2 linked regions of the Drosophila melanogaster genome follow. The protein of the gene in region 1 binds, or shares a complex with, the protein of each later gene. Each region holds a gene or a part of one and is shown in the gene's direction. Other genes may lie near its edges.

The links.
Region 2: Spt3 (region 1) and Saf6 share a complex: the UniProt entries of both Drosophila melanogaster proteins name them as parts of the spt-Ada-Gcn5 acetyltransferase (SAGA) complex.

The regions. Positions count from the first base shown.
Region 1 is NT_033777.3:12,015,134-12,019,221, forward strand, and holds Spt3 (Spt3), read left to right. Parts: upstream 1-2,022; 5' UTR 2,023-2,092; coding exon 2,093-3,247; 3' UTR 3,248-3,417; downstream 3,418-4,088. Other genes in the region: DCAF12 (DDB1 and CUL4 associated factor 12), read right to left, coding at 114-266, 331-735, 795-1,349, 1,419-1,685. UniProt on the Drosophila melanogaster protein: Component of the transcription regulatory complex SAGA, a multiprotein complex that activates transcription by remodeling chromatin and mediating histone acetylation and deubiquitination. The SAGA complex predominantly acetylates histone H3.
Region 2 is NT_033779.5:812,533-817,776, reverse strand, and holds Saf6 (SAGA factor-like TAF6), read left to right. Parts: upstream 1-1,826; 5' UTR 1,827-1,945; coding exon 1,946-2,302; intron 2,303-2,355; coding exon 2,356-2,502; intron 2,503-2,555; coding exon 2,556-3,534; intron 3,535-3,592; coding exon 3,593-3,826; intron 3,827-3,883; coding exon 3,884-4,320; 3' UTR 4,321-4,463; downstream 4,464-5,244. Other genes in the region: CG15880 (uncharacterized protein), read left to right, coding at 1-533, 595-731; Pex12 (peroxin 12), read right to left, coding at 801-1,694; Dbp21E2 (DEAD box protein 21E2), read right to left, coding at 4,466-5,215. UniProt on the Drosophila melanogaster protein: Component of the transcription regulatory complex SAGA, a multiprotein complex that activates transcription by remodeling chromatin and mediating histone acetylation and deubiquitination. The SAGA complex predominantly acetylates histone H3.

The DNA.
Region 1 (4,088 bases):
ATATGCAGGTGAACGATTTGAATCGAAATGCGCCAAAAGATTAAAGATCACAAGTCGAATAACTACTTAAATACTAATCAGTATTGTGAGCCCGGATCGGATCCTATGCCAATCTATTGCCAAACGCCCGCATAGTTGCCCACCAAAGTCGCCGGCAGTGGTCCTCCTGCAGCGAAGAGGCGCATCCTAGTGCTGTCATAGCAGTGGGTGTAGATGGCGGGCACATACTTCACCTGCTGGAAGCCATCCATCTCATCCTCCGGATACTGAAATGTACAAAACAGTTAGGTGAATTGGTGTATTTTGTGGAACTGTAACCTCTTCACTTACCACAATTCCTTTGCTGCACTTGAGTGCGACTGTGCGCGAGGCATTCACACTGCTCTCCAAATACTTTCCGGCTCGAATGTCGTAGAATAGGAGCATGCCCAGACCCGTGCCAACGGTGAGCAGGTTACCTTCGAACGAAGTCGCCCGTATACCGCAGCCACTGTATCGAGATGTGATCTTCTTAATGGTTTGAAGGGTTCGGGCGTCCAAAAGGATGGTATAGGAACGGCATCCAACGGCATAAAGGCCGTCGCTGTGGTAGGCGATGCTCACGTTGTCCTGGCAGTTTGGCAGCTTTCGTGAGAGTGTCTGCTTGAAGGTCTCCGCATTGAAGATGTGAATGTATCCGTTCAGCGAGAGGGCGGCGATCTCCTTAAACTCCTTGTTGAAGCAAAGAGATCGAATCTGTAAAAGATCTTATTGATAAAATGGTTCTTTGATTTGATTTGCATTCATAAGCTCACCCTCTGGGCAGTGCGAACTTCCTTGACACTAAGGGGGTGGATGGTTGCGAATGTGGGACACGCTTCCTCGCCGCCATCTGGAAACTCCATGTGATCCTCGTTGATGCGCCACAGAGCCATGCGCGAGTCCTTCGATCCGGACACAAGAAACTGGTCATCCAGCCAGCACATGCCCATTATAAGGTCGCGGTGCCCACCCTCGCCCACACAGACGGGATCCAGCGTAGGCAGTCGGTAAACAGCAATATCGGAGGAGTTGCGCGCACCGGTGGCTAGGAAGGATCGGCTGGGCGACAGCTCGATGGCATGCAGGCCACCCTGGACCTCAGGATGGTTTGCCCGGCTATTTGAGAGCGTTGGGATGGCGTCCACCCGGCGCATGTTCACATCGTAGACGAGCAGTTTATTGCACTTGGTCCCGAAAACCACTTGTCGACTGCTCAGCCACTTGGAGCAGAAGACCTTGTTGATGTAGCCCAGACTAATCTGCGTCTCGCGCAGCATGTCGTGGGTTAGCACATAGCGGCTGGTGTACTCCACATTGACACTGCGACGCTGCAGAGGATGGTGGGACAAAGTTCACGTTAGCAATGCAAGTGGTGCGACTTCACAACATATACCCACATCTCGGAGTCCACTCTCCCGGCTGCGCAGGTAGTCGCACAGGTTGTAGGATGTGTTCAGGACCTCCTCCTGCTGTTGGGGCGTCTCCTCGTCGCTGCCGGAATCCTCGTAAGTAACAAAGTCGTCTGGTTTGTCCGGTTTTCGTCTACGCTCCTGTCGCATCGCCCGCTGCTTGGCCCTGCGCTCCTCCAGCCGCGAGGATACGTGGCAGGACGGATAGGTGCCCACGACGCTGTCGCGGATGGTTCTCACCATCCCGTTGAACATCTTAAGGTAATTGTTTAATCCGATTTGTTGTCTTTTGCTTTACGGGTTATCATCCGCAAACAAAAATGGTGGTGCGTAGACTACAGTGGAACTACTGGTTCGGAACTGAAGTTTGCTGAACCGATTGTTTTGCATTTAATGCAGAGATACAAATTAAGGGAAATAAAAATACAAGTGTTGACATTTTTCTATTTGGCACAATACTCGGCCGCTCTGGTTACCTGAATATATATATATATATAATAATATATATATAATATACAGTATTTATATAAAGTCGGATGTCGCACAAATGCGTTACACTATCGTTCATCCCTAACGATAGGCCATCGCTTTCACAAAGGGTTTTATCTATTCTCACGAAATCAGCTGTTGCGATTGAAGTGGTGACTTTGTTTGTAAATAAAATGAACTACAACGCCAAGCGAGTAATGCGACAGAACTCGGTTTGCGTGGGTTCCAACGACATGGCAGCGTCGCCGATAATGATTGGACCTGCCCCGCCCTCGGCGCCCAGCACGCCGCAACTGCAGACCACCGAGGACATCAAGCCACTGCTTGTGCAGCGCCAAGTGATTCTGCTGCAAAGTGGAAGCATACCGACGAATCCCTCGCCACAGCAGATCAACCTAGCTGGACATAATGTAGCCGGTGGTGCCAGCGGGAGCAACGTTGCCAACGTTCTCATTCCGGATGATGCACCTGTCTCACTGCTCACAGAGATTGCGGATATCATGCGAAGCTTCGGCGACAGCGATCAGCCCAGGACGGGAAGTGTCAAGCTGGTGGAGCAGATCCTGCAGCAGCAGCTGCGCGGCATCTTCAATGAGGCTTCGCTGGTGGCCATGCGGCGGAAACAGAATCCCTGCCCGTCGCAGGCGGACTTTGAGTTCCTGATGCGCAACCATCCGGTGAAGATAGCTCGGATGCGAAAGCACCTCAAGGATATGCGCATACTCAAAAGGTTCCTTAGTATCCGCACGGGAAGGCCGCAGGACTTCATGGACGACTTGGAGCAGCAGGAGGAGGACGAGGAGCTGGCCATCGATGTGTACGAGCTACACGACGAGGACCGAATGCGAAGATTATTCCGCGCAGATCGGATATCGCAGATCCTTACGGGCCAGCAATACCTGGAGTTCAATGAGGCGCGCAAGACGTCATTCTACTGCCGCCATGGGGAGAAGATCAAGAACAAGTTCCGCCGCTTTCTGGACCTGCCCGCGGACCTTCGCATCCCAACGCCGACAATGAACATTTTGGCCTATCTGGCGCATGAGACCATTGCCGCCATTGTCGACTATTCGATCCTGACGCGCCTGAACTCGGACAACCGTGCGACCGAGCCCTACAGCCGAGTGACCTCCGCCGGAGGCAGTCCGGCTATGATGCACGTCTGTCCGGAGGTCACACAGGGTCGCGGCATGGAGGTGGTCAAGCCAATCAGTGTACCGGAGATCCACGAGGCCATGCGCCGTTTCCGGCAAATGAGCAGCCGTAAGATTGGGCGGTATCGCAACTCTTGCGACATCGATTTCCGGCGCAGTTTTCTAGCCATTTAAGTTTTAATGATCTTAATATCCTCGCCTATTTTTATTTGCGTCAATTATTGATTTTATTCACAAAAAATAGACTGTACAATTAATTCATTTAAAGTAATTCAATCCCCAACAATTAACGCGCTCTACATTTTAATTATACAAATTATAAAATAAAGCAATTTTGGCTCGTTAAAAAAGTTTTTTCCTGAGAGGTCAAGAACAACTAGGCATATTCATTAATTCAATTTGCCTGTGGCACATATCCTGGCCTTTGAGGCTGCGACTAAAAGACAGAAAAACGCACTCCAATTACGGACGGGTGAATCTGCCTCGCATGGAGCCGATAAATTGAAGCGGTAAACGAAGTTGAAACTGGCACCGACAGATAAATAAAAGCGCAATAAAGAAATTTGCCGACAGGCGCACTCGCACGTGTGCCACACAGACGGAGCGAAGGAGAAGGACCAGCAAGGATGCCGCAGGATTGCAGGAGAGACTGCAGCATAAGGCATTAAGAGAAGCAACTCGCGAACGCACTTAATAATCAACTTCCTGTTGTGCATATAAATGTGTGTGACACGCATAGCAACGAAGGGTAAAGGGGTTAAAATTCATTCCGCAGTTATGGGTGGCGGGTTTCATTCTGTCTTTTGCCGTGAATTGAAAAGGATTAAGAATTATTGCTCAATGTCACTTGAACTTTTAATATATGTACATATGTGCAATTGTGGTCATGATTGTATAGCAAAGGCAAAATCCAAATCTTTTCCAAAAACCTTTTTAAAATAACTTTTAAAAACCATTTATTTGAAATTTTTCTTATTCCTATCACCCGCTTGTTTATCTGATAACATGCGGTCCG
Region 2 (5,244 bases), on another chromosome or scaffold:
CGTCTGCATGGTGTACAACCTGGTGATGGCCATCACCACGGACTTCCAGTCCACCACGTATACCACCTGTAATGCCTTCAACATCTTTCCCTCCACATCGGCGGCTGCCAAGTCTCAGCACAAAGTGTGGGCTCTGGCTTGCTACCTGGAGTTCCCATTTCTCATTGCCAGTGCATGGCTGCAGTTCCGATTCTATCGGAGGAATCTGCGCAGGCCGGTCCGAGGTTTCGGCTGCCTGATGGCCATCATTATGGCTGTCAGTAGTTCCAGCGTACTGCTATGGGGCACCTTCCCCCAAGAGGATGGCGACTCATTGCTGCACATAACCATCGCCTTGTCGCTATTCGTATCGTGTGCCATTTACATGGCAGGTTCCTTTGTGTGCGCCAAGTACTATATGAGCGATAGGATTGGGCAGCTGCATGAGGAATTCTCCTTGCGGTTGAAGAGCGGTCTGGTGCTCACCTACTACGTCTGGGTGGTGGTCATGTGGATTTTTTACTTTATACACCAGAAGTTTTGCTTTCCCTTGGGTGAGTAGAACCTAACCGAATGGAAGGATGTCTACAATTCTAATCCCCGGATCCTCTGCAGCCTACTCCGTATTCGGTATGGGCGAGTTCATCTCCTGTGAGTGCTTCTTTATCTATCTATGCACGGTCTACTTTGACTTCTACCACGTCTACATATGTTACGACCAACGTTTGGGTTTCTTCCTCAGCGAGATGTAAACAGTTCCCAATTCCTTATAAAATGTATTAAACAAAAACAAGCAAAAAACATAAAAGGAATGCTTAACGTTACGTCTCGTAGATGCGCACCAGGTCGTCCAGACTGATGGGATAGTGGGTGACCGGGCAGGTGCCGTGCTCCTTCATGTGGCTAACGATGCACTTCCAGCAAAAGACGTAGCCGGAAACGGAGCAGGCAGTGGGCGTCTGGATGGACAGCAGGCAGACTGGGCACTCTCCCCGCTGGGGAAGGCTCTGCTGCACTTCCTTGGGCAGCTGCTTTCTCGGCATCGCTTCGGGATTTATCAGAGTTCCACCCACTTTCCGCCGCTGGTCGTTGGAGTACCACCACTGGACGAACTGCAGGAAGAAGGCCAAGACCTCCAGCATCTTTAGGACCACGTAGGTCCACTGATCCTCTTTGGGAGGTTCGCTGGGATAGCGAAGGGTCAGCCCCAACAATCTGAAGATGGGCGAGTGGTTTGAGGCGTACTTTACGAGGTAAAAGAATGTGTGCGCCGCCTTGGCGGCATGGAAAGCATGGAATGCGCTTAGAAGGCGTTGCTCCCAGGGACTGGTGTCCTCGTGCCTGGTGATCCTGGTCCTTAGCTTCCGCTCCACGTAAGGCATGAAGGTTAGCAGTGTGGCAGAGGCGAACTGCTGCCTGCGGTTCAGCAGATCCCCAGTGGTTGTGACCGTCCTTTGCAATCCGTAAAAGCTCTCACCGAAAGAGGAGGCCCTCTTGCGCAGATACAGGTACTGCAGCAGCCAAGTCAGCAATGGCGACAGCTCCTCCTGAATCCTCAAACTCCCCCATAGTTTAAAGTCCAGGCGTAGTCCAAAGTAGTCGAATATCTTGCTCAGTGCCGGGTAAATCAGGTTGTCCAGCGTCTCTGACGCTGAAATTTCGAAGATCGACGGCACATTTTGAAGGTTCTGGCGCACATTTGCCGCTTCTGCCATTGTGTTTATAGCATTTAAATAAATGGAATTAAATTCGAATACCAATTATGTTGTTATTCTTATCAGTACTGGTGTTATCGGGCTTGGCTTGAAAACAGTCGAGTGCTCATCAATATATCGATAAGTCGTTGGCACCATCGATAGTTGGGTTAATAATCTGGCAAGATTTGTTTATTTTGTGGTGCAGCTTCGTTGTTTATTTACCAACTGTTGAAAATATATACATTTATGAATTATACAAAACCAAGAAGATGAAAACCTCTGGCGCCAGCAATACTGACGAGCTGAACAAGTCATCGCACAGCAAAGTCAGCAAAAAGTCCACTAAGTCGCGATCTAAGTCGGCGAAATTGGAGTTGACTGGAAAGAATTCCCTGTCGGCATCCGCATCATCCTCCATCGCATCCGCAGTGAGCGGGGGCGTTGCAGTGGGCAGCCTGCCGGCCACGCCCACTCACCTAAACATGGTGACAACGCCCACCACGCCAACATCTAGTCTGGGTAACTACAATCTGTTTGACGCCTCATTTGCGGTAGCAGGAAGTGGTGGGCACGGACTTGCAGGCGGCATCGCGGGCGCAGAAGCCTCTGGCAACTCCAGTCGAATGGTAAGGATGCCAATCTCAGGGCCCTCTTATGGTACAAGCTCTCTTTACTGTAGGGTCATCAGAAGAGCTATGCTGGTTTCGATCCGCGCAGCATCAAGATCTTTTGGGAGCAGCACGACCAGACCGATGTGGAACTCTCCCAGGATGTGTGCGCCCGTTTGGCGGAAGATGCCTCCTACAAAGTCTGGGAGCTGATCAATGTAAGTCGACCGTAATACACCTCTTTAATCCCTCTAACCTCTTGATCTCTCAGAATGTCAAAATATACTCGCGCCACTCGGGCGGAGTGGTGACATACGACCTGGTGAACGAAGTGCTAAAAGATGCCGATGTGCCGCCTATGCTGGGTGCGATGGACAGCGACTGGGACCGGATCGACTATGACGGCAGTTTTTACTTTCACTCGGATAAGATCTTCGAGCTGAGCGCGGAGTTTCAGAAGGAAGTCAATCTGTGCACACCTGATGATGCAGACTTTCAGAGCATCTGCCCAGTGGAGGATAAGCACATGGACCAACTAAGACAGTGTGTCCAGAGTCTTGTGACGGCAGCCCTTTTTGCGGACAGCAAATCCCAGACGGCCGCCGTCTGCCATGCTTTTCAGACACCCCTGATGGGATCTATCTACCGAGTGATTGTGAGTAAGATGGTCCAGTTGCTAGCCTTTAAGCAGCAGGACCATTTGAGCCAGCGATGCTGGCGACTGCTCCGAGCATGCAACTACAACGCCACTGCTAATCACAATGCCTGCCGGCCGGAGTACTTCAACCTGGCCGAGGTACTGGTCAGCCAGCTAATGGCACCTTACGAAACTATCAAAGCTCCACACGTCGACCCAGATCCGGGACAAACCACCTCCATCAAAATGGAGTTTGAAGAAGAACTAAAGGTTGAGCCAGACCAGTGCCATAATCCGGAAACCCAGGAAAATCCGGAGGTCATGGGAGTAGAGAAACAGGAGCAAGAACCCCAGATGTTTCCGGGTGAGAGCACCATGGAACACACAATCTACAAGCTGCAATCGGAGGAGGAGGAATTGAATCCTCAGCCGGAGGCGGAACACCTATCCAGCTACTTTGCCTGTCCAGTCGGCAATGGCCTGGTGGACGAGCTGTGTGAAACTATAGGACAGCTGGCATCTCAAAGTGGTTACCTACATGCAGAGTGCCTGTTTTTGATCAAGAGACGCCTAGCGAGATTCTTCGAAGGTCGCCACGTCAGCAGTGAGAGAGGTAAATCATCCTTACAATTTGTTAGCCTGGATCCTTATCTTTGGATTTCTTAATTAAGACTTTAGGTATATCAGTAGAGCAGTGCGCGGTCTCATTGCCCTGGGAGAATATGCCTTTCGTGAGTTTATTCCCTACATCTACAAACTGCGCGTCGAGGAAATCCCGGATAGCCTGTGGCCGGATCTGGCTCCGGCTGCCATCTTCCTTGGCGGTCATGATGACGTATACCTGTATGAATGGCTGGAGTACGGATGCGGTGCTGCTCTGCAGCCCTTCTTGGTCCACTATGCGCGTAAGAAACACCCATGTGTTCCATGAAAAGCGGTTAAGTAACTAAAAATCATTGCAGGAGCCTACGAAAAGATGGTAACCAGACGGTATGTGAAGGCCAAACAACCCGCTTACAGAATAGAATCAGTGCCGGGAGTGCGTCGGTTGGAATGGAGTACTCTTGCGGCAGCCATGTGCCACGGAGACGATCCTAGCAAGGCACTCAAACCGAAGCCTACGCTCTGCGAGGCTTTCCCCGACCTTCAGTCACCAAATCTTCAGCTCAACTGCGCGGGCAACATCCGCTTTAAGTTTGCAGGATGCCGCCCGGTGCTGCTGAAGCCGAAGGTTGCGACTGTTCCCCACTCCGAAGACTCGCCTTCGTCGGCAGCGAACGGTGGTGGGGGTGGCGGTGCCAGCTCCGACATCCTGATCGCCAAACGAAAACTCTTTAAGCCCCTGACCAACGTGAGAAAGTGGTCGCCCATCAGTGGCTATCACTACCTAAGGATCTGAAAGGGACTTGGGAAAGTATTATAAGACCTTCTGGAGGTCCAGGAGGACCTGGGGATCTCAATAAAACTCTTCGTTTACTTTAGACTTCCTCTTCGGTCTTCCGAAAGGTGATACAACTTTACTCGTAATACATAAAAACACAGAACTAAAAGGCTTCTTCCTGAGGCGTATGTCCATTTAGTGAGCCCAAAGCGGGCACGGGCATTCCTGCAGCTTTCATCTCCGCCACAATCCGCTTGTTGATAATGTTTCGGATGTTGGCATTCACATCCGGCAGAAGTCCACCTGTTCGAGCTGCGTGCTCAATTCGCTGGACGACGTCGATTTCGCGGCGCGATGATATCAGGTTCGTGACTAGCGCCTTGTCCATGTTGCCCACCCGACCGATCCTGCCACAACGATGGATATAATCGGAGACGTGGAGCGGAAAGTCAAAGTTGACCACATGTCGAGCTCGTGTGGTATCCAGGCCACGACTTCCCACATCGGTGGTGGAAAGGACGTCGCAGTGACCGTTTTGGAACTGCTCGAAGCGGCCAAGACGGATCTTCATCAGCATATCCCCATTCAGATTTAAGCAGTTCACTCCGCTGTTGTTCAGGAAGATGGAAACGAAGTCACTGGTGGTGGACTTGTTGCTGAACACGATAAGAGGGCGACGTTTGGCAAGATCATGCTTCACGAGTGACAGAAGTGTGGCGGGCCGATCGGCCTTCGACAGCCGCAGGAACTTCTGCGTCACATGAGACATCAGTCGGTGCAGGTGCGGACTGACGACCTCACGGATGGTGTCCACGTCTATGACTTTGTGAAGGATCTCTCTGGTGTTCGTGGGCATGGTGGCCGAGGCCAGGATCATCTGGGTGCCAGCATCCTCCTTTTGCACCAAGTGGAACTGTCGAATAAGAAAAAACAAGCTGATTG